4 linked regions of the Struthio camelus genome follow. The protein of the gene in region 4 purifies or fractionates together with the protein of the main gene of each other region. This does not show direct contact. Links are inferred from orthologs where the notes say so. Each region holds a gene or a part of one and is shown on either strand. Other genes may lie near its edges.

The links.
Region 1: the proteins of OTUD5 (region 4) and CNP purify together in Homo sapiens (affinity purification with mass spectrometry; 3 studies listed by BioGRID, with this or other methods). This does not show direct contact. The link is inferred for Struthio camelus from reciprocal best matches to the Homo sapiens genes OTUD5 and CNP.
Region 2: the proteins of OTUD5 (region 4) and CTPS2 purify together in Homo sapiens (affinity purification with mass spectrometry; 3 studies listed by BioGRID and IntAct, with this or other methods). This does not show direct contact. The link is inferred for Struthio camelus from reciprocal best matches to the Homo sapiens genes OTUD5 and CTPS2.
Region 3: the proteins of OTUD5 (region 4) and KHDRBS1 purify together in Homo sapiens (affinity purification with mass spectrometry, with the first as the bait; 3 studies listed by BioGRID). This does not show direct contact. The link is inferred for Struthio camelus from reciprocal best matches to the Homo sapiens genes OTUD5 and KHDRBS1.

Annotation. Positions count from the first base shown.
Region 1 is NC_090966.1:7,413,469-7,420,399, forward strand, and holds the start of CNP (2',3'-cyclic-nucleotide 3'-phosphodiesterase), read left to right. Parts: upstream 1-3,922; 5' UTR 3,923-4,041; coding exon 4,042-4,044; intron 4,045-4,051; exon of another isoform or gene 4,052-4,185; intron 4,186-6,613; coding exon 6,614-6,931. Other genes in the region: ODAD4 (outer dynein arm-docking complex subunit 4), read left to right, coding at 219-415, 591-691, 1,576-1,654, 3,378-3,646. UniProt on the Homo sapiens protein: Catalyzes the formation of 2'-nucleotide products from 2',3'-cyclic substrates. May participate in RNA metabolism in the myelinating cell, CNP is the third most abundant protein in central nervous system myelin.
Region 2 is NC_090942.1:138,824,689-138,832,185, forward strand, and holds the start of CTPS2 (CTP synthase 2), read left to right. Parts: upstream 1-4,483; 5' UTR 4,484-4,539; exon of another isoform or gene 4,540-4,705; coding exon of another isoform or gene 4,706-4,734; exon of another isoform or gene 4,735-4,877; intron 4,878-4,919; 5' UTR 4,920-5,203; intron 5,204-5,247; exon of another isoform or gene 5,248-5,917; intron 5,918-6,937; 5' UTR 6,938-7,021; intron 7,022-7,348; 5' UTR 7,349-7,434; coding exon 7,435-7,481; exon of another isoform or gene 7,482-7,497. Other genes in the region: SYAP1 (synapse-associated protein 1), read right to left, coding at 4,142-4,334. UniProt on the Homo sapiens protein: Catalyzes the ATP-dependent amination of UTP to CTP with either L-glutamine or ammonia as the source of nitrogen. Constitutes the rate-limiting enzyme in the synthesis of cytosine nucleotides.
Region 3 is NC_090964.1:8,675,235-8,683,132, forward strand, and holds the start of KHDRBS1 (KH domain-containing, RNA-binding, signal transduction-associated protein 1), read right to left. Parts: upstream 3,011-7,898; 5' UTR 2,876-3,010; coding exon 2,782-2,875; intron 1-2,781. UniProt on the Homo sapiens protein: Recruited and tyrosine phosphorylated by several receptor systems, for example the T-cell, leptin and insulin receptors. Once phosphorylated, functions as an adapter protein in signal transduction cascades by binding to SH2 and SH3 domain-containing proteins.
Region 4 is NC_090979.1:307,309-315,153, forward strand, and holds the start of OTUD5 (OTU domain-containing protein 5), read right to left. Parts: upstream 3,015-7,845; 5' UTR 3,000-3,014; coding exon 2,499-2,999; intron 1,485-2,498; coding exon 1,391-1,484; intron 1,087-1,390; coding exon 1,022-1,086; intron 647-1,021; coding exon 490-646; intron 369-489; coding exon 220-368; intron 1-219. Other genes in the region: EBP (3-beta-hydroxysteroid-Delta(8),Delta(7)-isomerase), read right to left, coding at 4,124-4,332, 4,669-4,799, 4,884-4,920, 5,331-5,634; CCDC120 (coiled-coil domain-containing protein 120), read right to left, coding at 6,438-6,531. UniProt on the Homo sapiens protein: Deubiquitinating enzyme that functions as a negative regulator of the innate immune system. Has peptidase activity towards 'Lys-48'- and 'Lys-63'-linked polyubiquitin chains. Can also cleave 'Lys-11'-linked ubiquitin chains (in vitro).

The sequences.
Region 1 (6,931 bases), on a different chromosome or scaffold from region 4:
CAATACAGATAGCAATGGCTTTAAAACCCATCATCAGTCTGGAGTTCTCCAGATTTTATTGCTTGGTCTTTTTCTAAATACGTAGCAGATCTCAACGTAGAATAACTTTTCATAATAGCAGCATCTGGAACCCTTTGTTTATAGAACCAGCGGTTGAAATTATAACAGCACTTAGTGAAATTCAGTAAAAGTCTCTCTCTCTTACTCTCTGCTTGAAGTTGGGAGGAGAAGATTCCAATGGCAAAATCCAGCCTGGAGAAGACCTGGTTGTTCCATGAACTTGGCCGATGTTACCTTGAGCTGAACAAAGCTGAAGAAGCCCAAAATTACGGAGAGAAGTCCCTGCATTCAGCAGATGAGGAGGGAGATGTTGAGTGGCAACTCAATGCTGGTGTACTGGTGGCACAAGCACAAGGTAAAGAAGTTGGTACCTCTATATTCACCATCTTAATGGGAACATTTCTGGGATTTAACAACTAAAGTAACTGTTCAGATAAAACTTTTCATGGTAGATTTGCCTAACTAACCAGTTGTTTTTCTCCTGTTTGCGATCTTAGTTTAAAATAGATGTTTTTGTTTGTTGGTTACAGTAAAATTAAAGGATTACCAGGCTGCAATCCTCAACTTTGAAAAAGCACTTGAGAAGGCAAAGCTTATTCACAATGATGATGCTCAACAGGCCATCATTATTGTAAGTGGCATGTTGCAAAGAGGAGAGAAGCTTGGGGCAGAACTAATAAGTTAGCTATAACTATCGTTCTAATGTCATGAGGACAGAGAAATTGTCACTAGACAGTTACAGCATTAAAAGGGGGACAATACTGTCTCTGAAGTAGTTTACATAATGAAAGATATGAAGTCTTCTGGCTTGGAAAACTTAATCTCTGTTTGTGAACCAGTACAACATACCGAGGGGTGAAGTCCTGGCCCTGTTTGGGTCAAGGGAAATTTTTCTTTTGACCTGCTTGGGGCAAGGGTTTCACACTGAGTATACAGTGGTGTCTCCTCTGCATTCAGTTGCTAACAGCTGGAACGTAGGGTTGACGACAACTCACCTTTTTCTGGCCTCTCCAAGGCATCCCAGAGAAACCACTTTGCATCAGACCATGGAAGAACATCTAGGGCACAGCCATTGTCCCAGGCATAAAACAGTCTGTCTGTTACAGCAGTCTGTCTTCCTTGGTCTGCCAGTGAGTTGCATGTGATCTTCCTGACCAGGTCACACAGCACTGGGCTCACCAGGCATCTAAATCACAAGACAGCACAGTTACAGCATAAACACCTACCTGTTTGGGGATGCCTCATGGGTGTCCGAAGCTCAAGCAGAACCTACTCTCCTGCATGAAGAAAAATGATAGTGTGTGTGAGAGAGAACTTTCAGGGGAGGAGACATTTGATAAGGGATACTAAGAGATATTAACAACCTTTGCAGGGGATAAGTGAAGCATATTGTTGCAGAGAGTTTTAAGGTAGTGAAGGAGCAAGTAACGATAGTAGAAATCAAAAGAAAACAAACTTGGACAGATCTGTAGCTGTATTTCTAAAGCCCTTATTAACAAGCCATATCACTTTCAGGCCTTAGATGACGTGAGCAAAAGCTTCATCAAAGAGCTGAAAGAAGGAGAAAGAGAAACGACAGCTGATTCTCCTAAAGGTAGCTATTATCTAGACCTCTGCACCACGTACATTTAAAAATTCCTCACTTCCCTTTTCTGGGGGACAGACTGAGACGTTGGAAGCAAAGCACCTACTACCTTCAGTAAAAGGACTGCATATCTGTCACCCAGATTTGCTGCAGTCAGTGTCTCAGGGCCTGAGGTCCAACCAGCTCAGGTTCCTTTAATTTTCTGTGCATCATAAAACTACTGCTTTCAGCATGGTGCTCTTGCAGTGAAAATACAGATGAGGACTTGGCATGTTACTGTGCTGTCCAGAGAACAGGCTTTTTACTCTGAGCAGCAATAAAGCAACTGCTCCATTGCCAGATAGCTGACATCCAAATTTCTGGACTGCATGCATCCTCTGTACCGGTACACTGTAGCAGGGATTATTTGATATGTGAAGCCATAACCTAGCGAAAACTTGTGGCTTTAGTTTTTTGGCAGTGAGGGTTTAATATTGATATTTTGGTATAACCTAGAGTAAATCTCATTCAAGTGAAGCCTTGCTAACTAAACTAATAATAGTGAAGGAGCTTAATTTCACTCTTCAGTGCCATCTGTATAAAAAGCTGTTTCTAAAAACATTGAAAGCAGCTCCAGTGCCCAGAGTGCATAACGGTGGGCCTAGTCAGAAGCAAAATAGCGTCAAAATGTGACTGTAAAAGTGACTGTGAAGGAGGGAGATTCACAGTGCTGAGGCCTTCAAAAACCTCAGCTGGATTTTAAAATCCACATAATATAGATGTATGCAGTTTTCTCCCACCATCTAAACAACGATACGTACTACCAAGCATCTGCAGCACGAAGCATGACAGCATAAGCTATCTACAGGTACAGGACAAACAGTTCCTCATCTCAACACATGTAGCCCCCCGCCCCGAGTGCAACTTAATGCAAGCAGTATCCTTTCAGCCTCAACTGGCAGGGCTGCAAAAAAGAAGGGAGCAGGCCTTACTCCTTGTAGTTGTAGCATCCTCCTGGTTATCTGGGTTGAAGCCCCTGACTGAGGGGACAAACTGAAGTCTTGGAACTCTGCTTCCAAGTAGCACCATGCTCATCTAAGGGCTCTATCAATTCTGAGCAGGAGATGGCAGCGTTTCTCACGTTTCCTCTTTGCGCGCGCAGGGAATAAAGTTTGTGCACAGCACAGTGCTTCTTGCACTGCAAGCGTAGGAAAGCTTCCTCCTCGGTCGGAACAGAGCAAACTCCCTCACACCTACTGAGCAGTAGGAGCACCTGCATGCAGTGACGGATAGCCCTGGAGCAGTGTGTACTGCTTAATACATACATGCCCCAGACATCCAGGGCTCAGGGCTAATCACGTTAAACTTTTCTGGGTCAAATGCTGCAATTTTGAACGATCAAGGGAAAGTCCAAGCCTTCCATCTCTGACCATCACTTTTCTAGCAACACCTTCCTCAGGGCCCTCTGTTACCAACATATTCACCGTATGTTCATTTTGTTACAGTTGATTAATTCAGACCGATGTACCTGCCAGTCCCTGGTTTCTGTTCACTTTAGATCATGCAGCTTAGCTTCTTACACCATCGGTAGACGGAGTCTTGTGAGACAGAAAACAAAGAGAAGAGTTTTCCGACTGTGGTGAAGGAGGCCAGGAGCCTTTCTTCTTTTTTTTTTTGTACCCTATTGATTGCTCAGTGCTGGAACTTGGTTTAAAATTGCTTTCTTCCCCCCCCCCCCCCCCCCCCCCCGCAGATGATGATTACAGCAGTGAATACACAGAAGACAACTCCAAGAACACAGAGAGAGAGGAAAGTGAGGAAAGTGAACAAAGCATAGAGAATCAGACAAACGAAAAGCAAAAGGAAGATGCCACGAACAGCGAAGAGGAGCATGGAAACGATAGAGAAGAGGGAAGGAAACAAGAAAATGAGGAGAGCAAGAGCAACGAAGGAGAAAAAGAAGAGACGAGTACAGGGGAAAGAGAAGATGATGAAAATCAGCACTACTCTGCATCCGAGTAGAGTAGCGCTTCCTGAGGAGTTAGGCAGTAGAATTAAATGTTGTGCTGCGATGTTGGTTTTACAAGCGAGAGCTCTCCCCTTTGCTGCGTCTGGACAGCGGCTCAGTCCAGGAGTCTGCAGACGTTCGCGTCGCGCTCGGCCCCCGCAGCGTGCCCACGTCTGCTGGCAGCCCCCGGCACGGACGCAGCTCGCTGCCGGCCCCGCGTCCCCCGGAGCAGGGAGCTCGGCGGGCTCCAGGCGCGGCTGCTCCGCCCCTGCGCAGCCGCCGGGCGGTGCCGCGGGGCGGGGGGGCGCCGCGCTATGAAAGGGGCCGCGGCCGCCGCCGCCCCAGAGCCGCTTCCCCGCCGCGCCGCGCCGCTCCGCACCGGCGGCCGCCCGGAGCCGCTGCCCTCACCATGGTGAGCGCCGGGGCCGGGGCCGGGCGGCAGCTCCTGCCGCACCGCTTTCGGTTTCGGTTCTGGTTCCGGGTCCCGGCGGGGTGGAAGCGGGCGGGGCGGAGCCGGGCACCGCGGAGCGCACGGTACCGGCGGAGCCCGGGGGTAACTCGGGGCGCGCACGGTAGCGGCGGCGGTGGCCGGGGGGGGGGGGAACTCGGGGCGCCGGGGCGCGCACGGTAGCGGCGGCGTCGGGAGGGTATCGGGGGTAATTCGGGGCACCGGGGCGCGCACGGTACCGGCGGCGCCCGAGGGGTAACTCGGAGCCCCGGGGGCCGCAGCGGTTCCTCGCCCGGCCCGGTGCCACCTTCAAGCCGTACCCCGGCCCCCGTGTGCCTCCCGGCCGGGGCCGGCGCGGCAGAGCCTGGAGCTTCCCCCGGGAGGGAGCCCGGGACAAGCGGGAGCTTTGTGGGGTCGCGGACGGGCGAGGGGGTCGCGCTGAATCGGGGATTGTTCGCCCGGCGGAGCCCCGCGCTCCCCCGAGCCCGGCCTCTGTAGTGCCATTGTCCGGCCGCGCTGTACGCGGCCCCCTTTCATAAAGGCGAGCATTATATTTAAAGCTGGCTGCTAAACAATGGGTCCTGAGGGTGTTTTCTATTATTGTTCTTTTGTTTATGCATCTGAAAAGCAGCCTCAGTTACTGCTGCTCACCAGCAGCTGCTTTCAGCAAAATAGTTTGACTGCCACAGTCACAGGCCAAGCCCTGTGCTGGGCACACGTAGCCGCCTCGCCCTCCGGCCACAGCAACAGCAAGTCAAGATACTCCTCCTACTCCCCCGCTCAGGCCAAAGGCCCCTAACCTCTTCGAAAACATAACACTTACACTTGGAGGATGAGCAGTTTCCTGGGACGTCTCACGGCGTCTGTTTTTCTTGCACTCGTCCACAGGCATCGGAGGAAGCCAAAGTACTTGTCCTCTTGTATGATGACTTGGGAACCCCGAGCCCTCAGGGAAGCCAGTGTAGGTGTCCCAACAGAGATGCACGCTCCTTGTTTTTCTTGGATCCCGTTCCTGGGGCAGGAATTCCGCACCAGTCTCGAGCGGGGAGATTGCTGCTCCAAGGACTGTGCTTGGAGCTTGTCATCCCCCCACAAGAGGCCTGACTTGCTGCACAGCGAACATGAAAACAATGCTGGTGCACAGTCCTTGTCCCAGGCTGCTTCGAAACCAAAAACCCAGCTCCAAATTCTAGAATGAAGGGTAGAAAGAGAAGTTAATCAGTTGAAATAGTTGGTTTTCCTACAATGTCCTCACCCTGCAGTCAAGCAGTATTCTTCTGCCACGAGCAGAATATTTATGTAGTATGTAAATCCCCTAGATTTTTGGGTCAGTGGCAAATACTGCTCTTTCAGTATCGCATCTGTGGTTTCTTGACTGCTGGTACAGAGCTCGTGTCTCAATAACAGGAGGTTGTGGCAGGCAGCAGAGTCGAGACTGGTTTGTGGCAAGGATGCAGCTGGGGAGAGAAGTTGGAGAGTTCATGTATTAACCAAAAAGATGGTTGTCCCTATTGGCATTACCAGAACCTTAGACAAATTCCTTGTTTTCATCAAATCTCTGATTTTCCTAGGTCCTGCTGAGAATTACTCTTAGATACCAGTTATTGCATCTGGTGGCAAAAGGGGAAGGAGGAACAGTGCCAGCTCTCGGTTGGTGCTTTTCCTGTCTTGCTTGGTGGTGTCAAGCTCAAGCATTTGTTTTGTTGCTGAGAGGATGGGTTTAACTTTCAGTTCAGGAAATGCTAAGAGCAGGTTTGCTTTTGCCTGAAGCAATATAAGTTCTGTACGAGACCAGCCCAAAATTCCCCCTTCTGAGGCATAAGGGTGCTGCTGTTCAGTGTAGCGTCCAGGCGCAAAGGGAAGGCGATTCTTAACATGATGTAGTCTCCTTGCAGGCTTTACTCTGAAACAGCCTTTCCTACGTGACTGGAGAATTCCTAAACCGGCTTAAATCCGTTTGTAGTCTTTATTTGGATTAATCAATGAAACTTGAGCAGCTGTCACACCTCCCAGGACATTCGTTTCCCCTTTTCAGGACAAGTTCCCCATGGCATGCAGTCTCTTTGTAAACGAGCAGCCGCAAGCGTTGGTTTAAATGTCCTGAAATAAATTTGACCCTTCAACTGCTCTGTCTGGGCTTCAGCTTTGCGGGGGCTCACGGGCGCCTGCTGCTACCACGTGACAGTAAAACTTGCACTTCCATGTCAGATGGTACTGTGGCTGCCACCGGTGGCCAGTGAAGGCCTGAGCCAGAAGGGTGAGCGGGGCTGCCCCTCCGCTCCTCCTCCTCTTGCCCCCGTGTCAGGAAGGCGGCAGGACAACACGGTGCCTCCTGCGGGACCCGTGGTGGCAGCTGTGAGACTGGTGTGAGCCAAGCAGGGCAGCCGAGGTGGCACAGACGTGTTCCCAGAGCTGTTCACGACCCTCCGAGCACAGCCCTCCTCCCTCCCCCTAAAGGTCTGCTGTTGCGTAGTAGAAATACGCTGTCTCTCAGGATTGCTAGCCTACAAAATATTTTCTTATTGAATTTCAGAACAGAGGCTTTTCAAAGAAGAGTCACACGTTCCTGCCTAAGATATTTAGAAAAATGTCTACTCAGTCAGCCAAAGAAAGGCCTGAAAGCTTGCAGTACCCATTCCTTGATGATGATGATACCATCTCCACAGTTAAAGAATCTAAAACCTTTTTTATTTTAAGAGGCCTGCCTGGCAGTGGAAAGTCCACTCTGGCCCAGGCTATTCAAGATAGATATAAAGATGCCTGCAAGGTGATTTCTGTCGATACCTATAAAATTGTACCTGCAATAAGAAGCACTGTTCCTGAAGAGTATTCAAAGGTTGATGAGGATCTA
Region 2 (7,497 bases), on a different chromosome or scaffold from region 4:
TTTACAGATGAGAAGAGAAAGAGCTGAAAAACATCTCTTTACATCCAATTCTCTTGCTAGATTTCTTTTATCTTTCTATGTTTGGATACCTACTTGAAGTTTTCTTTCAGAATTGTTTAACCTAGCTTCCTGTCTTCTTGTCTACAAAGAACTCCTAAAATCTTGTTCATCCGTTTCTAGTTCTTGTTCTTTAGTTATGTAACTGTACGTTTGATCAAAAGCGTCTGTAAACCATAAACTATCATGTCTTAAACTTGTTTACTAAACCAAACATTCCTAATAGTCCTTGAAATGCTGCTCTCCAATCAATTTTCTGAAGCAATATCTTTCATAACTTCAATTATTTAAGTAATATTCAGACATTAAACAATGCAGTAGCTTTACCAACATGAGGAAAACAGTTTTTTTTTAAATTAAGAAAATCAACATGCACAATAAAGTCTCGTGAAGTGAATGAGTCAACAAACGCATAAAAAATTTCTGGTAGGTAAGACTTCAAATCTCTTCAGAAGTCTTAAGGTAGAAGATTGCTTTTGATGTTGCCCCTTTTCTATTTTGCATTGTCTTTCTTAACTTCATTAGAAATAACGTGGCTCTTGATTTTTCTGAATGGCGTCAAAACAGCAGTAACAAATACTTTCTAAAACTCTAACTATTGTTTTTTATACCAGCTGCGCTGAACTGAAGAAAGGTGTCAAGAAAAGAACCATATAGCACAAACAGTTGTCCTGTATTGTTATTTTTTAACTAAGAGGTCAGAACATACTGAGAAGGCAATCATTAAAATGTAAATCATTAACCTTCAAAAACAGTAAATACCAATTTATTGACAAAGTACCTTAAAACAATATTTAATTAGTTTATTTCACGGATCGTTACACAACATCATAAGCACTATACTAAACTGATGTACTATGTCTGATTTCATAATTACAGTATATACAATCTCAGTAAGTGCCTGTAATTTAGGCTTGTAGAAAGATATAATGGTGTTTTTGAGCTGTATGGTAACTATCAAAGGCATATTTCAGGCATAAGAAAGAATGCAAAGCATGTGGGATAGCAAGGATCTTTCAGTTATTCTAAAAAAATAACTTTTACATAGGGGACTTAAAAACAGACAGCACTTGCTTGGGGCGAGGCAGGAGGGAAGAAAACACGTATCTTCCTTTTCAGGACCTCCCAAAAATTTGAGTTGCATTAAAGGTTAGAAATGTAAAAAATAACCTTAGCATCTGAAAAAAACCTGAGTTGTTTTAACACACACAGCTGTCAACGACTAACAGAACGGATTGCTTTGGAGTAGTCACGTTACTTTTTGCAAAGCTGGCTGCTGTTCTTCGTGGCTTATAAACTATTCTTTCTTAATGATACGGCCAAAGTTGTTCTGAAAAATGCAGAGGTCTAGCCAGTCCTTAAGAAAACCAGTTTTCTAAATGTAACTTCCCCTCGTAAGTCACAGAATAGTGACAATCAAAATTCCTCCCAGTACTTGCTAACATCTTCGGTTTATCAGGCTTTACATCACATCACAAGCTTCATATTGCATATAAAAATACCTATCTTACACTTTGTATATACACACACACGCAGAGTACACTCTTTACGAAAGTAGAGGAGGCAGCAGCCTACTGCATCATTTCCCCCCAACTTTTATTTGTTGCTTTATGCATCCCTGGGAGCTTTCTTGTATACAATTGTTTCGGATGCAAAAGATCCTGAAACATTTGTTGTCACAGGTGATGTATCTTACGCTACAACACAGCAACTTTTTGGTATAGTTGAGCAAAGTGGTTTTGGCCGGTCTTATGGCTAGAACTGAAACTAATCTGAACAGAAAATGTTTTTTCTTTCTATTAAGGACAGGTGTTCTTCTTATGCTAAAGTACTTATAAAGCCTGAACAGGAAGCAGTACTAGGCCTAGTGAACCAGTGGTGCAAAAACAATACTTCCCCTACCTCCCACTTCCAAAACTACGTCTGTATTAAGAGTATTTGACAAGAAATATTTCTGTTTTTAGTTCATATTGGCAAACTCTCCAACCATAGATGATGCTAGGCTGGCAATGCTACCTTTTGTAATAACACGGTAACGAGCATACAAACAGTATGTGTAAGATTTCAGTTTTACTGGTAGAATTCTTTATGAGCTAGGGAAATCTGTCCACACAATTATGCTGCTTGTTAACCATAGAGATGGCTCAAGAGTTATCATGTCTTAGAACAGTAATGTCTAACTGCTGTTAAAAAGAAGACCTTTCTACCACAATCTTCTTGCGTCACAGACATGGACGGACACAGACATGCCAAATCCATGGATCACTAGATCAAATTCTTACTCCCAGAGCAAATTAATTCTCAGAAATTGAATCTGAAGGAGTCATATCATTTACAGATTACTGTGTTTACTGTTATGGGATGGACATCTAAATGCATGACAGTCAATACTTGTTCTTCCCCTGAAAATTCAGTCTTTTTTCCCTCCTCAGCAGTCAAGGTGAGCACTGGATTAGGATCTACTTACAATACTAAATAGACAAACATCTGTGACCAACTTACGCAGATAATCTGCTGCTGCTCAGAAAGTCCAAGGCAAACTACCTTCAGGAACCATTTCAGAATAAGCTTTCTAGAGATACCAATTCAGCAGTTCAGAGCACCAGCAACAAACACTTCAATAATAGTGTTCCACTTTGTATGAATTTTATCTCAGAACCTACTACCGTAAAACAGAATACTTATTTACATCTAATTACAGCCCTGTCTCATCACAGATGAGTTTAACAAAAGTTAAAGTATTTCTACACAAAAAATCATGCAAAACCCACAACACTTCAAAGTATATTATTCTGCATGCTCACATCACTTTTCCCATAGTCAGACCAGAATAACAGATACCTAAAGAAATACTGCTCATTTAACAACTTTTCTAAGAAAGATAATAACTGAACTGTTTGCAGTCAATGTCTTAATGCCTATTTCAAACATACAACAATTTCTAAAATGATTTTTCATTTCCAGTGTGGCAACATCCTTCAACAGCGCACAGAATTGTTAGCAACTCACTTAAACACTTCTTGCTGTCAGCTATTGTTATTTAAAAGGAATCTCTAACCATAACTTTGTTTTTTGGACTCTATGAGATCCAGCACACTTTCAAACTTCCAGCTTTATCAGTTGCAGGGGACTGTTTCATAATTGTGGAGTAGACTGTAGGATAAACTCTAACTTGTGAAATGCATAGTAGTGATGTATGCCATAGACCCCCGTTAACAAATATGGTTTTAAAAACATACAAAATGGGAACCTATACGGGAACATCAGACAACAAAAGGGTAGAGAAGAATGGCTTTTAACACATTCTTCGCTGAGAGCACTTTACAGACTAGCTAAGGTGATGTGAATTACTGTTTACATCTGGAAAGATATGCTTCTCTCTCTCTCTTTTTTTTTTTTTTTTTTGAAAAGGAGTATTCTCGTTATCTTATAAGCTTGTATTCCCCCTTTCACATCACTAAGCAAGCTACATAAGAGTTGTAGTCATCTAGATGAAAAAGAGATTTTTCTTTTTACTTTGCTGAACTGAGAATAAACATGCTTAATTCAATTTAAAACCAATTTGTTCCTACTTAGCTCAGTTAGAGCTTTGCTCTAAGTGAAAGTGATAACTATTTCTAATTTCTGCTGAAACCCCTAAAAATGCCCTAAACTAGCCTACCTTTGCTCCTGCAGTTGCTGCTCTGTGTTAATGTCACCGTACAAAGATAGTTTTATTGCTTTAAAATCACTTTTTTTTTTAAACACTAACACCACTCCCCAGGGTAGGTGAGCAAAGCCACGACACCCCTCCATCTCCCCCTCGAAGAAAAGGGAAACTATTCCTTTACTCAAGCCTTACAGTGAACAACGCTGTGTGTGTACGGCGGGTGGGAAGCACCACCTGGAGCGCCCCATCTCTCCGCCACCTCGCAGGCCGGCCCGGCGTACGGCGCGGGCACACGACCGGCTGGGGTCGCACCGAGAGGTGTGTTGGGAGGGGCGCTTTTCGGTCAGGCGCAGCGGCGCCTCGGCCGGTGCCAGGCCCAGGCCGCCTCCTCCCGGCTCGCCCCCCCGCCGGCGGCGGCATAGGCAGGACACTCACTGCCGAGTCCCTTGGCCTGGCTGAGGAGCGGGTCCGAGTCCGCCTGCAGCTCCACCTGCTCCTGGCTCCGCGCGGCCGGCTCCTCGCCCGTGCCCGCATCCGCGGGGTTGCTCCGGCTCCCCTCCTCGGCCGGCAGCAACTTCTCCTCGGCTGCCCGCTCCAGGCCCAGCCAACTGCCTAGGCCGCGCAACATGGCGCAGGGGCGGCCGCGGCCGCGCTGGGCGGTTACCGGCTACTCCTAACGGCACGGGCGAGGCGCTCTCTATGCGGAACCCGAGCCTCCCCGCTCCTTCCGCATACGCCACTTCCGGCCGCCTCAGGAAGGGGGGCGCTCTAGCCTGCGTCCCGTATGGCCCCAAAGGGCGGGGATAGGCGGAGCAGCGGAGCTGGCGCGCCAGGTAGGAAGAGCGCCGCTCGCGAGGGGCGGGGAGGCGTGTCGAGCTGGGTGCGCGGCCGCCGCGGGGCACCTGCCCCACGCGGTAGCCGCTGGGCCAAGCGGCGCGTGTGCAGACACGCACGCACGCAGCCACACCACCACCGCCACCACCCACGCGGTTTCTCTGTATGCATCTCCCGCGGAAGACGTACGGCAGGTAGCTGCCCCTTGCTGCCACCAGCGCGTGAGGGTTTACCCGGTCTTGACTAGCAGAAAGCGAGCGAGGCTCGTTCGCTGTGTACCGGTGGCGCCTGGGTAAGCGCTTGCCGCCGGAGGCCTGGGAAAAAGCTGGGGAAAGAGGTGGGCAAAAGGCAGTAGATAACCCTCTATTTCTTTTTTCAGTGTAATGCCTCTGGTCTTTAGGGAGATGCTTCTTTTCCCTCCAAAGACTTGCTTCTGTTTGAAAATCTCCTGCTGTGTGGTTACTTCAGTATTTAGAACTGCCTAGAGAGGCTGGTGACCTGGTTTACCTGAGCACAAAGTTTGATTCTGCTCATGCACGCCAGTACCTAACTTTACCACTTTAAATACAGTGACTGAAGCCCGTGCCCTTTGGGGTAAGCGTTTACACGAGTGTTTGCACGGGTGAGGCCGTACGCTGTAATCACACCATGCTGGCAGCCAAGGTAAGTCAGGGTATTTTACCCTGCTTTTTGCCTTTACCTTGCAGCAGAGCTGGCAGAAGGTCCCACTTTGCTTCAGATGGTCTGATATGTGACAAATCCCACCAAACTGCATCCTTATGTGATGCGGACGGATGTTTAAAGGTCCCAGAAAACGTTTAAACCGGGTTTTTGTCAACTAGCCAAGTTGAGAAGACAACTGCTCTGTGTTTTCAGGACTGAAGTCAGTATGCGTGCAGAACTTCAGGCCCTACAGCCAGCTTGTTTCCCAGTAAGGACATCTCATCTTCATCTTCGGGCGGCTGCTTTCTTTAATCATCCGTTTTTTTTTTTTAAGCCGTCTGCACAGGCCCTGAGCGTGGCTCACGTGAGAGCGGGCCCGCACCGGCACTTTCCCCCTCCCGCTTCTGCCCTCCCGCCCGCGAAGGGAGCTCGGCGCCCGGCGCTTCCCCCCCCCCCCCCCCCCGCCGTCCTGCGGGCCGAGGTGTCCCCCCCTCCCCCCCAGCGGTGCCGCAGCAGCGTCCCTCGGGCCGCCCCCAACGGCCGCCGCCCCCAACGGCCGCCGCCCCCGCGCCGGAACGGAGCTGAGGTAACGGCCGGCCGGCCGCCCGCGCCGTGTCCCGTCGGGGCGGGGGGAGCAGCCCCTCTCGTGGCGCGGGCGCGGGGCCGGACGCGTCCGCGGAGGCGGGCGGCCCCTGCGCAGAGCGCGGTACTGAGGTGAGACACGGCGGCGCCCCTGAGGCCCCGGGGCAGGGCTGTGAGCCGCCCCCTCGCTGTGGCGGCGCCGGGTGGGGAGGCCGGCCCGCCCCGGCCGTGCTGGCCCGCGGCGCTGTCGTTAGGAGCAGGCGGGGCGCGCAGCAAGCTGGTCGTCGGTCAAGCGCGGCGGGGGTCCTCAACGCCCTCGAGAGCGAAAGCGCCAATCCAGTAAAGGGCAAAATTATTCTCCAGCGATTGTCCTGACTTACAAAACGCGTTCCCCCTCCTGCTGAGTGCGGTTTCCAGCTCTCAGCGTCACCAGCGAGCGCAGAATAAATCTTCGCCACAACGGCTGTAGTTTGTTCCTTAGTATAGGGCAGCACATTTGGCGTAGAGTTCTCCGAAATCTGTGCTGAAGAAAGTATGCTCCTGCTGGTAGGGCTAAGTGAAGTAGTTTGTGTTTCTGTGTGTCTGATTGTGCTGATTTACAATCCCCCACGAAGTGCTTGCTGCCAGTATTCTCTTTTTGCTTTTCCTCCCCTAACTCTATTTAAAATTCCTTCTCCTTTTGCAACTTACAAGCACTATTGTCCTCGCACTACTAGTACTACTTATGCTACTACAAGTAATATACATATTCCAGTTCTTTCCAGTCGGTATAAGTGCAGTTATTAACTGAAAACACAGAAATTAAAACTGCACTGTGCGTCTTCGCTAGTGAAGTTGATGGAGGAAAGGCAATAACTCGAGTTGCTGCCCAGAGTAGTCTAGCTGCCCTTTTCAATGGCGCTTGTGACTTCCCAAACACTTTTTTTTCCTCTCCTTTTTTTCTGTTGGAAGTATTTTCTATTGCAAGTAAGCAGTGTATTTCCTTAAGCTGTTGGGCAATCTCTATTCCTGCAGAAATTACAGTGAACTTTTAATTTTGGTTCCAGTCAGTGAGGTGATAGCATTTGCAAGCTTTGATCTGCCAGCTATTCAAGATTTACACGTGTTATTGACTAAATTTATTTCTTTTTTCTCCTTTTTTTCTGGAAATAGCTTTGAAAGAGGCTTAGACGGTTACAAAATGCTAATGTTGAGAACGTTATCTGATTTATAAAGGAAGAGTCTGAAACACAGGAGGTATGCTCCAAATCTTAAAACCTGTGCTTATTTAAAAAAAAAAAAGTTACATATTAAGAAAAATTTAGTAGTAGGGAAAACTGGAGTCCTGGTGACAGGGAATAGTTTTCTTTTCTCCTCTGTAGACCACGCTTTCATGCTTTGTGGGTCTTTAAATTTGTCCAAATTAATTCCTGATTTTGCTTGTTTTATGAAATTAATGCCTATTAAATTTTTCAGTTCTTGATATGCCTTATGTTATTGTGAATTTATGTCACTGGCATGTTTGCAAATAACAAGGGGGAATGTTCCTCTTTTTTCTTCTTTTTTCTTTTTGTTTTCCATTAGTGTTTGGTGTGAGCCCACCCATCACCCGTCTGAATAAATTCCAAGGGTCCTTTTCTTCTGAGAATCATCTTTTTGTTTGAAGTTGCATGCTTCTGATGGCTATCATCTCCCCTTTGTCCACACTGACAAGGAAGTAATAGTTTTTTAAA
Region 3 (7,898 bases), on a different chromosome or scaffold from region 4:
CACAGAAATTTCTCCTCCATTTCAGGACAGCCTTAACCCCATGCTGAGAAAGCCTCAGGACATTCTATCGCTTTGGGTTATATACAGTTTCTCATCACCCCTGTGACCTCAGCCCATCTCTAATCCCACTGTTTGGTTCCTTGGCAAGTTACTCCAGCGAGGCCACTGCCCATCCATCTGACTTTCCCATACAGCCTATGTTTCCACCATCCGTGTTCTTCCTAGGAATACATACAGATTAAATAACTCTGGCACAAGAATCAGCAGAGTCAGCAGGGTATTCTTCTGAGGATTCCTTCAACTTCTCAAGCCGCTCTCTACTGTGCAATGTTTTGATCTAACTCCAATTGCTCAGAGCTTCCTTCCTTCATGGGTTTACTCGAATACCTCGAGTTACCTATTGCTCTGAACTTAGCCCTCACCATCCATCTCCATCCCTCCTCACCACTCTACGTGTCTGGGGAGGTAAAGGGCTGCATTTAACATGAGGACCAATTAGATGCTAGCAATGTAGAGATCCATTAGTGGAGCGGAGATGGGGCTTACACATTTATTTGTAGCACTGGAAGCTCAGAGGTGAAGAGGCCTGCTCTTTTCAAGGAGAGTTCCACCATGAAATGAAGAGAGCTTGCTAAGATTAACACATGAACTTGAAAAAAACATGCCTGGCTAACACTTACATCGGTAGATGTCTCCCATCCTCCCAATGCACATAAGCAGAGAAAATTGCGCCTTTCAAAGCATCAGCATCCCCCCTGCCCCCGCAACAGATGAAGGGCATAAATCAAAGTGAGGGAAAGGGATTTTCTTGTTCCTATGGAAAGGGAAGGCCATGTAGACCCCGAGTCATAAAAGTGAGGAGACATGGATCCTATTCCAAAGGGTAAGAAACCCCAGTTTTCGATTTCTATTCGGGGTGCTGTGCTACAGAACCCTAAAAGGTAGCCACTTTTCTCCCTTTTGATCACACAGCCCATTGTTCAAGAATTAGGATTATGTCACTGCGTTGCCCTTCATCTTGCTCCTAAACAATGCTGATTTCTTTCAGAAAAGCTAAGCAGCACTAGAACCACACAAGTATTTTGGACTACTTTAAAATACTGTTTTTAAACAAGATGTCTTAGTTTCAGTGCAGAACTCCTGCAGGAGTTCCTCCGGAATGCAGCATGAACTTGCATTCTTGAGAAAAGGCTGGCATAGGGATAGGGATACTGCTGCTGTTCCGTGACCAGTCGTTTTGAAAGCCTGTCTGAAAAATCATTTTGATGAAGTCACGCTGCACACACGCATTACAATCTTTGACCCAGACTTAAATTCCAAAGTGAGATTTTTCAGCTGGCTCTTCAACACGACATACTCAAAGGGTGCCACAGCAGTAGAGAAATTCTGAGCAATCCAGGTCAGTTGGGGAACAGCTGGTCATCTGTGCAAAAAGAGGCTCCTAAAACGGTGGCTTTATTTCAGATTCTCTCTCACGAGCCTCCTGCTTAGATCGCCCTAAGTTTGGGCTGCCTAGTGAATGCTCCCAAAGGACAGGAATTTTCAAATAACCAAAGCAAGGCAGAAGCATCTGGAGCTCTTCCAATGATCAATCCTAAGTCTCACAAAGCTGCGCTCTACTATCAGCAATTTTTAAATTGATGAAAAACTCATAAATCCTTGCGACAGCACTCAGTGAATGAAGCTTTGCTAAATGGGATGAGAACGCTGTTCTTTGAGCAGGAATTAGCAAATTCCTTAGGTTTCATTTCACCGCAAGGCATTATCACAGAGCTGTTGAGCATCAGCTGGCTAAAGGGTTTTATTAATAAAAAAAAATTGTGGCAAATCAGACTATAAAACTGATTTATGGAGATCAAGATGCCCATGAGCGATGCCAAGTCACTCATGACATTGACATATCTCAGTTACTTGTACAATGGGAGACAGCAAGTCTTAATAAAGTCTCTAGCACTGCAACGATTACAGCCACATTACATACTTTAAAGACTGTTTAAAAAAAAACATTTAGAAACAGAATGGTAATAACTAGAGAGCTAAGCACTCTGCTCATCTGTAAATCGAATCCGAGTTCATCCTTCTTGTGCTGAGCACATCCCAGCTCTCCACTCCATGCACATTAAGCAGTAAGTGGCAGAAATTGCTTAACTTGTTCCAATTTTTAAGCTAACTACAGTGTCGTGAGGCAGCTGAGTCTACTTGATACAGCCACCAAATGCGGGTGCAGCAGCTGCACTGGAGAGATAGGGAGAAATCAGAGCCGCCAGGCGATTGGACAGTGGTGATGGGGAAGGAGAAGGCTAGTCTGGGCACAGAACAAAGACTGCCATTTCCATTCCCTATTTAGGCTCATCAAAAGCATGAAACAAGCTCTAATACGGATTTCCAGAGTAGAAATGCAAAGAGATCACAAATCACGCCTCGCAGGGGCTCCAGCAGACGCTACCTGGAAAACCCCAGTCTTCACCGTTCTCTCGGGTCCCCTCTTCCCCCAGGGACGAAAAGGGGGAACACGACCGTACCTTGCTTATCAAAAAGAAAGTTCTAGGTTTGTGCTTAATCCAGGCTAAGCACGGAGGAGGGGGAGGGCGCTAAACAGAGATTAAATAATAGAAATATCTCGGTAACCCCCCCACCACCGAGGGAGGCGGGGCGCATCTCACCCGGGGCCGCTCCCCGGGGGCCCTCGGCGCTCGCAGCCCCGGGCAGGGCGGCCAAGAGGGGTCAGCGGCGGCCGGGCCCCCCCCCCCGCCCTGCCCGCCGCCCCCCCGGCCGCGGTACCTGCCGTGAGGAGCTGCATGGCGTGCGTGAAGGACGGGTCGAGGCTGTCCTTCTCGGCCATCAACTCCGGCAGGTATTTGTTCTCGGGCTCCATCTTGACGGCGGCCCCCGGCAGCAGCGGGGTGGGGGCGGCGGCGGGGGCCTGGGCGGCCGAGGCGGCCGCTGTGGCGCTGGGCGGTAGGAGCGGCGGCGGCTGCGCCCCGGTGGCGGCGGCGCCTCGGCCCCCCCCACCTCCTCCTCCTCCTCCTCCGCCGCCACCTCCTCCTCCTCCTCCTCCGCGGGGCGGCCGCCGCGGGGGGGGCGCCCCTTGCCGGGCGCCGCCGGGGCCCGGCCCCCGGCCCAGGCGGGCGGCGGGGTCGTCACGGCGCTGCATGCGGGCGGCGGGGGGCGGCGGCGGGCGCGGAGCGGGCCGAGCGCGGCGCTGCCACACCGTCCGCCGCGGCGCCACGGCCGGAAGTGAGGGGCCGGAAGGACCGCCCCCCCCTTCTGCCGCTCTCTCCCTCCCTCCCTCTCCCTCTCTCTCACTCCCCCCCCCCGCACTTCCCCGCCCCCCCCCACTCCGCCGCAGCTCCCGCGCGACCACCCCGCGCGCCTCTGCGCCTGCGCCGGCACGCAGCCGCGCGCCACCCCCCTCCCCACCCCGCCCCGCCCCGCCGCGCTCCTCACGGCCCGCCCCCTGGGCCGCGCGTGCGCCGCCCGCCGCCCGCGGGAACGAGGCGCGCTCTTGGGACGCATGCGCAGTGCCGGGCCCGCGAAAGCGGAAAGCGACACGTGGGGAGCGACGGCCGCCCCGCTGCCCTGACTGCGCATGCGCAGATGCAGCGGTGTGACATTAGTCACCAGCTGCCGAGAAACTTATCCCGCAGGGGATTCACAGCGCCTGCGTGTATGTGTGTATATGTGTGTGTGTGTGTGGGGGGGGGGAAGGTCTGTGTTGCGCATGCGCAGTGGCTGCCCGCTCGAGAACAAAGCGGCTGGCGCGCATGCGCCCTGTGGCTGTGCGTCTCTGTGGAGATAGGCGTGAGGTGCGAGGCGTGTCGTAGGCCCTGGGGTGGCGGAGGGGCTCCGGCCCGGGCTGCGGCCCGAGAGTGACGGCGGGGCAGTGCCTTGGGCAGCGCAAAGTGCCTGGGCCTCGGTGGGCGTGGTGAGCGGGGCACAGCCTGCTTTGGGAGTTGGGTCCTTGGCCTACCTGCCCCTGCAGCCGTGTGCTGTGGTATGAGGCCTCAGCAGTGCCTGTGTGGGAGCTGAGCCTTCCCCTGCCTGCCTGGGGCCTTGGCAGCACCTGTGTGGGAGCTGAGCCTTCCCCTGCCTGCCCCTGTGGCCCTGTGCTGCAGTATGGGGCCTTGGCAGCACCTGTGTGGGAGCTGAGCTTTCCCCTGCCTGCCCTCATGGCCCTGTGCTGTGGTACGGGGCCTCAGCAGTGCCTGTGTGGGAGCTGAGCCTTCCCCTGCCTGCCCTCATGGCCCTGTGCTGCCGTACGGGGCCTCGGCAGGGCCCATATGGGAGCTGAGCCCCTGGCCTACCCATCCTGGTAGCCCTGTGCTGGGCTTGAAGAGAGTACTTGCCTCCTTCATGGGAGCTGGTTGTTGTCGTGCAGGGCTGGAGAGGGAGTAAAAGCTCTCGTATGAACTAGCATTGTCAGAAGTTTAGAAACTCCAGTTAGAGTTGCTGGGGTGGAGTTAATGAGGAAAGGATTATCTGTACCATCCTGAAACCCAGCAAAGAAGAACTGAACGCTTTTTTTTTCCAGTCAGGATGATCACACGTGTGAAGGCCCCTTGGGTGCAGAGATTCTGTTGCTGTGGTTTTTTGGAGGCAGCTTTTACTTAACTAGCATGCAGGACCTATCTCAGGCGCTGCAACCCCTTAAGTTAGTATCAGATGTGGCTTTTGTTTATTAATAGATTGACATTCATAGCTCAAGAACATAGCAGGAAGACTTACCAGCTTTTACAATTCTTGAAATTACACATCTACTTCAGCCTGTTAAGGAAGCATGGCAAACTCATTTTATCTCTGGCTGTCTTGTGATAGATCACTCTCTGCAGCAGCCTTCTCTGTACGTTGTTGGAGCTGATGTGCGTGGACAGACGTAGCCTCCGACATCATCAGGTAACACAGCCTGAATCTCGTTCTGTCTCTCTTGCCTCCAGGGTGCTGTTTCGGAACAGCTCCACTGAACCTGTGCAACCCTGTCACTTTGTAGTGAATGGCTGTGCAGCTTGTGAACATAAAGCCCTGCCTGTGTAAGGGAGCTGCCGCCACTGACGGCTTTAGAGCAGTGTGGGTCCCTGCCATGTGCAGGTGCAGATCTCGGTGCCTGTTCTGTTCCTTCCTTCTCAGTTCTCTTTCACATATTGTCTCTTTTTCTTCATCCCAGTTGTACATCTTTATGTCATTCTTATAAATTTTCAACAAGATTCTCTTTCCCTGCCTGCCTTCCCTGTCCCATCCAAACACACAGCTGCCAGCTGCTTCGCTTGTAAATGCCATGGGACCTTCCGAGAGCTGGGATGTGTTAGCTCTGCTCCTGGTAAAGGGCTGTCATCACCCCAGGGCTTCCACCTGCTGCCTCAGTCAGGCTCCCAGAGCACGTGTAGCTCACATCTTCCTATGACCAGCCCCTTTGCTATGCTGGTGCTGCTATGGAAGGCAGCTGTCATTAGCTGTTTACATTTGACCCGTTCCTCCAAGAACTTTGGGAGTGAGGGGGAGGAGAAAGGTGCATTTGGCTCCTTTAGAGTTTTAATTTTTAGAGGAAGGTTGCCTGATGGGGCCCTGGACTTGGAATCAGGAGATCTGGGACCAGTTTCCAGCTCTGCTGAGGCTTCCTGAGTGAAGCTGGACACTTTGCGTAACCATTCAGTTCCCCATCTGTAAATTTAAGTTACTTCTACCTTCTTTCTCTTCTACTTGGATTGTCCAAATCTGCTCAGGGTGCCCAGGGGCTGAGACATTCCTTCCTTACAGGGAAGGAGAATGGGGAATAGAACAGAGATGGGTCTAGTTTGGGCCTGAGTGCATGGCCACCCCTGCTCTGTCTTCCGCGTGTCTGTTCTCCTGTGGGTATCTTAGGAGAGCAGCTGATAAAAGCTTATGTGGATGTGATTGCTTCTGCAGTTATTCCCTGCTGCTGAGATGACAGGGTCGTTAATCAGCTAGGTCTTTGAGAGAATGCCTTTGTTTTGCTGCAGAAGAGGAAGAGGCCCGGCGGGCCTGGAGCTCTAGACATTGTGCATTATGCAAATGGGTGTGCGTCACGGAGCCACCGATGTGTGCTCAGGCGAGGGGCCCTGAGGAGGGTTTGCTGCTGGAGCTGAGAACAGAAGAACTCTTGTTCCAGCTCTCGCTGGTGCCACTTCCAGTGCAGCCGCCCACTTGTTCAGCTGGACCAGAGGCAGCAGTGATGCCAGCGGGAATGGGCTGCCTCTCCTGTGTCTGTCCTTTGCTCCAGCATTTTTATCTCAGCTGGCAGGAAAGGAAGTGTTAGTCCCTGGCTCCAAATGAAGGTACTTCTTGTTACAGTGGATTAATAAATGCTAGCTAGCCTCTGAGACGCTAACCCTGCTATTCTTAGGGAGCTTTACGAGCCTCGGTGATTTCCATCCCATGGCTAAATATTTCCGCCTCCTGGGAGATTGGAGCAGTCCCAGGCCCAGCCCTGTGCGATGTCCTGATGCCCTCTAGTGGGGTCTGGCACGCCATTGGGGCAGGCTGCTGCAGGCCCAGGGTCCCCTTGCAGCCACGCTCTATCAACAGGGCACTTTTAGGGGAGAAAACGTCACCCTCTGCTCAGGAAAATCTAGCTTCTTGCCTGGCAACACAGCCCTTCTCTGCGCTCGGCAGTGCATCTTGACTAAGGGGTTCTCTGTGCTGGCCCTGTGTAGCATTTTGTTACCCTGTCTAGGACTGGCGTGTTTTGAATGGTCTTTCTGACTCTCAGCAGGCTGATGACAGGCACAGAAAGTGTTTTCCTGGCAGGATGAGGAAGCCAGGCCTCACCTGGGGAAGGAGGTGCTGAAGCCCTGTTGCACAAACACTGCGCACAGAAGCCATGTACTACTACATGGAGTCACACGCGCACTGATAAAACTGCATGATGTCAGGAAGGGTTAAGCTCAGGGTATGATGCAGCCTGGTGCCGTCTGGTTAGTACCAGACGGGGTGTCACCTTTGGTTACTTAATGCCACGTGGCCGGGACAGGCCCTCGCCAAGTGCAAGGCTTCCTGCTCTGGATGGCTCCAAGCCAGGCGCAGAGCCCAGGCTGTGAGAAGGGTCAGGATCCTGCTCAGACCAAACTCTGAGTCACTGGTATCCGGCGCTCCACCCGCCCGCAGGGAAGCGGATCAATGGGTCATTCATTGATTTTTGTTTCACCGTGTGCAGGGTCAGGGCTGCCCTGGCCATGTGAACCTGCTCCTGGCTCCCGGCTGTGCCGCCCTGCCCCGGGCGCCCCGAGCAAGCTGGGCATCTGCTCGCCTTCCTGGGTCACTTTGTTCTTTCATGTTTCTGCCCTACTCGAGCGGTGCTGCGGTGTCAACGGAGAACACAGACGCCGCCGTCTGGATTGCGCTTCGCAGACAAAATGCAAAGCGGGCACATGCCTGTGGACGTCTGTTGGGCAACCTCACCCCGGGGACGACATCGGCAGCCCCGACCAAAGCCTGGCGACGGGGACACGGCTTCAGATCCTGCCTTTGTCCCGCCGCCCTTAAACGTCCCTAGCAGCACGGGAACGCTCCATTTGAAAAAAGAGACAGAAACGCTTATGTCTCTCCAGGCGATTGTTCTGGGTTGCCCGCAGTCCAGAAACGGTGACGTTTGCAGGGTTTTTGCCATAAGCTCCCCTCCCTCCTACTCTCCCCCCAAAAATAACGAAACGGAGTCGCTCTTCGCTGACCGGCACAAACCCGGCGGCCGCTCCTCCCCGGCGGCAGCTCCCGGCCGCTGCGCGTTGGGTACTTCCGTGCCGCGGCGGCGGAGGCGGCCTGCCGGGCCCCGAGGGGCGGCGGAAGCGGAAGCCGTGGGAACCGCCGGGGGGGGCAACCATTGCGGCTGGGTGGGGGGAGCGGGCTGTACCATTGCGCGGCGGCGGGGGGGGAGGGTGCTGGCGTGG
Region 4 (7,845 bases):
CCACGCCCCACAGACACCCTGAGGACCCCCAGGCCCACAGTGGCCCCATGGCCTCCTCAGGGACCCCCCCCCCAGCCCCATGGTGGCCTGAGGCATCTCCACAACCCCATGGTAGCCCATGGGATCCCCCAGCTCCATGGTGGCCCCAAGGACTCTCCCAGCCCCACGGTGGCCACCGGGACCCCCCTAACCCCACGGCGACCCCCTCCTGCAACTCACCCCCGGCTTGAAGGAAGGCAGCCCCAGCCCCACGCCGATGGTGGCCTTGTTGGGGTTCACCACGGAGTTGTAGTGGATGTTACGGTGGTAGCTCACCCGGATCGGTTCGTCCTCGTTGTGCTGGATCCCGTGGAAGGTGTTGATGGGCTCTGTGGGACCCCCACGTCAGCACCCCAGGGACCCCCACGGACACCGGGGACCTCACCACCACCCCGTGGACCCTGGTGTCCACATCCTGCTCCTCCACCACCCCATGGCCATATCACTCACCAGTGCCGTACTGGTAGACCTCCACGGGGCGGTTGTACATCTCGGCCATGGCCTGCATCTCAATGTGGTTGCCGTGGCAGGTGCTCTTGCGCTTGCGGTTGATGTAGGTGGTGAAGTCCTCCGTCACGTAGTTGGAAAAGTAGTCGGCGTTCTTCATCTGTGCGGGCCACCAGCGCTGGGCCACGCCACCACGGGGACTGCCACCGCCAGGACCCCCCCCAGAGGGGACAGAGGGGACACCAGGGTGGCAGGGGACAACTAGGGATGCCGAGGACCCCAGGGCAGCCCTGGGGACACTGGGGAGCACAGGGGGACCCTGGGGACATGAGGACAGCCCCAAGGTGGCACGGAACAACTGGGGGGACTGAGGGGACCCCAGGGGGACACAGTCTGGCAAGGGACACCAGGGAACACAGGGGGACCCCAGGGGGATCCAGCCTGGCAGAGGACATGGGGGACCCCAGTGGACACGTGGGAATGCCAGGGGGACAGGGCCTGGCAGGGGTGGGGACAGCAACACAGGGCCACTCACCAGGTAGTCCATACAGTGCTTGCGCACCACCTCGTGCATGTCCTGGTCTCCGTACACCTGGTCGGCTGCAGGTGGGGGACAGCGCGACAGCAACGGGGCGCGGGGTCAGTGCCTGCGCCCGGATGCCTGGGTCCCTGCCCCGGGCGCCTGGGGCGGGCGAACGTGCAGGGGAGGCAGCGCGGGATGGGCACAGGGTGTGACGCGAGGTGACACAGGAGAGATGCAGGACAGATGTGGGGTGACACAGGACGGCTGCAGGACGGCCGCGGGGTGACACAGGACGGCCACAGGGTGACACGGAACAGCATTGGGATGACTGTGGGGTGACACGGGATGGCAGTGGGGTGACACGGGACAGCGGTGGCTCACCCACGGCCCGGAAGAGGCAGGCGCCATCCTCCTTCATGCGCTTAATGATGAAGCCTTTCTTCTCGCGCAGTGCCTTCTCGAACCGGTGCTCCTGCTGGAGACAGAGCTGGGCTCAGCCGGGGCCCCAGCATCCGGGCAGGACCCCCCACCCCACCAGCAGCCTGCACCATGCCAGGGCACGCGGGACAGAGACCAGCCCCCACGGGACACAAGTAACACGAGGACGCATGTGACATGAGGCCACGTCCCTGCACAACACAACCCTGTACGTGCACATGCAACACAAGGACGCAACCCTGTGTGACATGAGGCCGCATCTAACAAGGCCTCACATGTGACATAAGGGCAAGGCCCTGCATGACATGAAGACACGCGCAACAGGGACATGCTTCTTCCACATCATGCAATGACACACGTGGCAGCAGCCCTCGACCAGACACACACACACACAACACGGCCAGGACACGGGTGACAGGCACACGTGACATAATGTACCCACCCTTGCACAGTCCCCTGTGGGACATGGTGACATGCATGTGACAGCGCCACCCTCCCTGCACAATGGGACGGCACATGCGTGACAGTGACCAGCCCCTGTGGGACGCAGGGACAGGCAGGGGGGCCCGGGGGCCCTCCTATGACAGACGGGACAGTGCCAGCACCCTGTGTCACATGCATGTAGAAGTGCCACCTCCCCGGGCCATACAGGGATGCATGTGGCACCCCCAGCTCCTGTGTCACACAGGGACACACACGGCAGCACAGACATGTGGTGGTGCCAGCCCCATGTGTCACACAGAAACACACATGACACTGTCAGCCCATACCACACACATGTGCCAGCATCAGGCCCCACATGTCCCACAGGGACATGTGCAACCCCCCAACCCATGACACCTGCGTGGCACCATCAGGCCCCACATGTCACATGGGGACACACATGACACCACCAGCCCGTGTCACACACGTGTGGCACCATCAGGCCCCACATGTCACACGGGGACTCGCGCGACCCCCCCAACTCCGCGCCACCCCCACGATGCAAGGGGGCAAAACCAGGCCAGCCGGTGCCCCCCAGTGTCCCCCGCGTCCCCCCCGGTGGCGGCACCTGCTCGGCCGTGGCCGGGTCCAGCTCCACCCGCGCCGCCTCGTACTCATCCTCGCTGTTGTAGCCGCCACCGCCGGCCTCATCCGGGCCGGGGCTGCCGCCGCCGCCGCTGGGCCCGGGCCCGGGCCCGGGGCCGCCGCGCCGCCGCCGCTTGCTGAGCCCGGGGCCGCCGCCCGCCGCCACCACGGCCGCCGCCATGACGCCGCGCGCCTCGGCCCCCTCCAGCCCCAGCAGCCCTCCGGGGCCGCCGTCGCCGCCGCCGTTCCCGGAGCCGGCGGCGGCGGCAGCGGGCGGCGGCGGCGGCGAGGCGCCGGCGGCCGCCCAGCCCCGCAGCGGCGGCGGCGGCGAGGCCCGAGGTCGGGGGCCGCCGCCGCCGCCGCCGCCCTCCGCGTTGGGACCGCCGCCGCCGCCGCTAGGCCCCGGCTCCGGGTGCGAATCGGGGCCGGCGTCCGGATCGGCGTCGGGGGCCGGGCACGGCTTCTTCTTGGGCAGGATCGTCATGGCGGCGGCCGCATGGACCCCCCCGGCGCCCCCCCGCCCGCCCCGTTACCGGCCGCCGCCGCCGCCCGGTGCAGGCCGCGGGGCGGCCGCGCGCTGCGCCGCCTCAGGGGCTTTTTGATCCTCGGCGGCGCCCGTACTGCGGCCAGCACCCCCACCCCTCCCCTACCCTCGCCTCCGCCGCCGCCGCGAGGGCCCCGGCCTGGTGTCAACATCAACAGAGCCGCCCTCTGACCCCGCCGCCGCGCGCGCTCGCTTCCGCCCCGCGCGCCGCGCCCATTGGGCGCCGCCGCACACGCCGCGTCGCCATTGGCTACAGCGCTCGGGGGGAAGTCCCGCCCCCTCGGCACCTCCTCGCTCCGCCTGCCCGGCCCCGGCCCCGCCTCGCAGGAGGAGGAGGGACGGGCCCGGCGTCGCCGTGGCGACGGCGCGCGCGCGCGGAAGGCACCGCCATTGGCTGGCGGCCGTGCGGCGCGCGGATTGGTGGGGCGAGAAGGGGGGCCGGGCCAAGGCGTGCCCACCCCCTCCGCCGCCTTGCGATTGGCTGCTCCCCGCGGGGGCGGGCCCGCCTCCCCCTCGTCGGCTCCGCTTCCTGGCCCCGCCTCCGCCGCGCCTATTGGCTGCGGCCGCGACCTAATTTCCCATTGGATGGCAGCTGCAGGAGGCGGGACGATGCCGCAGTGGCCCTACCCCTAACTCCGCCCCGCGGCTGTCAATCACTCCCCAGGGGCCACCCCTTCCCTCCCCCTCCCTACCAGCTGAGCCCCCTCCCCCTAAAAGGGACCCAGGCGTCTGGGGAACCCCCCCACTCCCGTGACCTAGGCGTCAGGGCACCCCTGCCAAACACAACACGCTATCTCGGCTCCAATTTCCACCTTCATTTATTAAAATCGTGTCTGAAAAGGAAAAGGGGGGGGGGGGAGACCCCCAGCACCCCTCCCCCATGCCCTGAGAGAACCCAGGCATCCGAGTCGCCCCCTCCAAGAGGGGAGCTAGGCACCCAGGCAGCGGGACCCAGGTGTCCGGGTGCGCTCCATGCCGTCGCTGGTGCTCCGCAGAGAGGATCCCATCGGCTACGGTGCAGGTGGGCCAGCCCCGAGGAGGGAGGGGGCCCAGGCGTCCGGGGCTCAGTGGCCCTTGTGGCGGGGGCGGTCGAGGGTGCGCTGGGCAGTGCCCAGGTGGCGCCAGGCATCGGCGATGAGGGCACCAGGCACCAGCACCCAGATCCCGTTGAGCCCCACGAAGTAGCCCCAAAAGTAGTAGGGCCGGGGGTCGGCATGCACCCAGCCCGCCCGCGCCGCCGTGGCGAAGTACAGCACGTCGCCGTACAGCTGCCCTGTGCGGCGGAACCCAGGCGTTTGAGCGTTTCCCCACACCCCTAGCAGCCCCCACCCCATGGCTCACCACCCCTCTGGGGATGGAAGAAGGACCCAGGCATCTAGGCTGCCCCCACCCCTCCCCCCAACACGTGACTCCACCCAGGGGTCTAGGAAGGACCCAGGTGTCCAGGCCCACCCTCCTAGGATCCAGGCATCCGGGTTGCCCCACCCACATGGGCCTCACTCACTAGGAGGGACCCAGTAGTCCCCAGGGACCCAGGTGACCCCCCCACCCCATGTGACCCCACTCCACCCCAAGACCCTACCCAGGGGACCCAGGCGTCCGGGCTTACCAAGGGAGACGACGAGCTGCAGCACAAAGCGGGCAGGGTGGCGCCGCAGGAAGGCGAGGAAGGTGAGGAAGCTGAGGGGGCCCCAAGCCCAGGCTGTCACCGTCTCCATGGCAACCGTGAAGTCATCGCTCCTGCAGGGGGTGGGAAGAGATGGGGGTCAGCACCCGGACACCTGGGCCCCTCACACCACCCCCCACAGCAGCACCCCGACTCACGTCATGTAGCGGCTGTCGGCCTTAGCATACTCCTTCCCTGTGGGCAACATGGGATTAACAGGGGGCCCAGATATTGGGGGGGGTGGGGACCAGGAATCCAGGGGTAGGACACCCTTCCCCACATAACCCACCCCCCCAAGGGACACAGGTGTCCAAGGGGCATCCAGGGGACCCATGAGTCTGGATAGATCCCCTTCCCCCACATAACCCACCCCCTCAGGGACCCGGGCATCCGGGGACCCCTCCCCTCCTCCACACAGCCCCCCAAAGGAACCAGGCATTTGGGAAGCCAACCGGGACCCAGGTGTCCGGGGGACCCTTCCCCTCCACCACACAGCCCCCCATGGAGCCCAGGTGTTCGGGGGACAACCCCCAGCCCCATATACCCTCCCTCAAGGGACCTAGGCGCCCCCCCCGCAAGGGCCCAGGCGTCCCGCAGCGACTCACAGACGGCGGCGAGCGGCCCGGTGGCGGCGGGCAGGTCGCCGTGGCGGAGGCTGAACCAGCCCTCCAGTATCCCGTGCACCCCCGCGCACAGCAGGAACCAGCCCAGCACCAGCCGGCGGGCGGGGCTCAACGGGGCCCCGCCTCGGGGCCCGCCCCGGGCCCCGCCCAGCGCCCAGCCCAGCGCCATCAGCCCGGCGCAGCCCGCCGCCACCGCGCCTGCGCACTGCCACCCGGGCCGCGCGCTCGGCACGTAGCCCGGCAACAACAGCTCCCGCGGCCAATAGGGGTGCGCCGGCGTCGCCATGGCAACGTTGGGGCGGGGCGCTGCGCTGCGGGAGTGGGGAAGGACCGGCGTGAGGCGGCGTGGCCCCTCCCCCATCTCCGTTATCCCCTCCACAGCCCCCGCTCGGCCCCGTTAATCCCCGTAGCGGCCTCCCCACCCCAGTTAGGCCCCACCAGCCGCCGTTAACCCCCTCCGGCCCCCCCAGCCCCGTTAGCCGCGCCTTAGCCGCCCCCCCAGCCCCGTTAACCCCTCCGTAGCACCCCCGGCCCCGCAGACCCCTTCCCGGCCCCGCCCGGCAGACCCCGCCCCCGCCCGGTAACCCGGCCCGGTAACGCGCCCCCCGCCCCGCGCTATCGCTCACCTCAGGAGCGCGGCAGCTCTCCCGCGCGGCGCGGCCCCGCCGCCTCGGGCCCTGCCGCCGCCCCGCCCCCGCTCCGCCGCGCCGGCCAATGGGCAGCGGCGGCGCCAAGGCCGCGCCCGGCCAATGGGGGCGCGCCGCACCTCCCCCGCCCTCCCCCGCGCCCCGCGCTGATTGGCGGAGGGGGCGGGTGAGGCGATGTGGGGCCAGGGGCAGGGGCGGGGACGGGGCCGGCGCCCATATATGGAGGGGGGGCTCCCGGAGGCGGTGGTGCGGGGCTTTAAGCCGAGGGGCGTGGCTTCCGCGCTGTTCAGGACCCGCCCCTTGGCCCTGAGGCCCCGCCCCCAGCGCACTCCGGGGGGCGGGGCCTCCTGTGCAGCACTGATGACATCACAGGGGCCGCGGTGACATCAGTGCCGCGGCCCGCACCGCGCCGATAACGTCAGCGGCAGGCAGGCTTCTGACGTCAGAACCGGGTACGGGAAGAGCAAGCCCAGGTGATGATGTCACTGCCCCAGAGGGGGGAATCCCTCCTGGCATCATGGCTGTGGGGGCGGGGCCTAGTCAATGACATCACAAAGGGGCAGGGCCCAAGTGATGATGTCAGAGAGGGGTGCAGCTCCCAGGTGATGATGTCATCACCCTGCCAAATTCAGCCCCCCACCCTGCAAACGGGGTTTCTGCCCCAAATTGGATTTATTTCCTCCAATTGTTGTTTCCCTCCCCAAGTCAGTTTTCTCCAAACCAGGTTCTCTCCCCCCAAATCATTTTCTTTCCACTAAGCCGGTTTGCTCCCAAAACGGGTGGTTTTCAGCCCCATTTCATGACTGGGGCAGCAGGGCTGCGGCACCTCCCCTTTCCCCTCCAAAATCCATGACGTTTTCCCCCAAAACCTCACTTCAGCCATTTTTTCCCCCAAGAAGGCAACAGAGCCAGTAGCAGTGCTCCCCCAGCCTCAAATTGGTGGCGCTTCCCCCCCAAGCCCCACTTTTGGCCATTTTTCCCCCAAGAAGGCACCGGAGGCAGGTGGCAGGTCCCTCGTGTATTGTACAAACCCCCTGTACAGCCCCCAATTCCCCTTGTTTCCCCCCAAAACACCCCAGGTTTGGGTCACCCTCTGCCCCGGATCACACAAGGGTGCCGGGGGGTTGCGGGGCCGCCCCGGGGGGGTCCCCTGGGGGCCTGGGGGGAAATGGGGGGAAAAGGGCAAAAAAGGGAAATGTAGAAGGAGGGAAAGGGGGGGAAAGGGGGGAAAGAGGGGGAAAAGGGAAAAAGTAGGAGAAAAAGGGAGGAAAATGGAGAAAAAAGGAAAACAAAAAAGAGAAAACCAAAAAAGGAAACATAGGAAAAAAGGAAAACCAGAAAGAAACAAGGAAAAGGAAAGGAAAGGTAAAAAGGGGAAAACAAAGAGAACAAAAAAGGGGAAAATAGAGGAAAAAAAGCAAAAAAAAAAGGAAAAAAATTGAATGAAAGTCAAAGAAAAAAAATGAAAAAAAAAAGCAAAATACCCAAAAAAGAAGACACAAAAAGTGACTCAATTAAAGAAATAAGAAAAAAAAACAAGAAACAAAAACAGAACAAGAGAAGAAAAAGCAAAACAAAAACGAGTGGAAAAAACAGAAAAGTCCAAAAAAAGGAATAACAAAGAAAAAAAGAGAGAGAAAAAAAGAGAACAGGGTTAGGCCCCCCCCGGAAAGCAGCGCCTGCCCGGACGCCTGGGCCCCTCCCATCCCCCACCTTGGGGCTCCCCGGACACCTGGGCTCCCTGAAAACAACAAAAAAGCAAAGAACAAACAAAAAAAAAAGAGGGAAGAAAGACCTAAAAGGAGCTGGGGACCCCAAAATGGGGGGAAGCCCCCAAATTGGGGCAATTG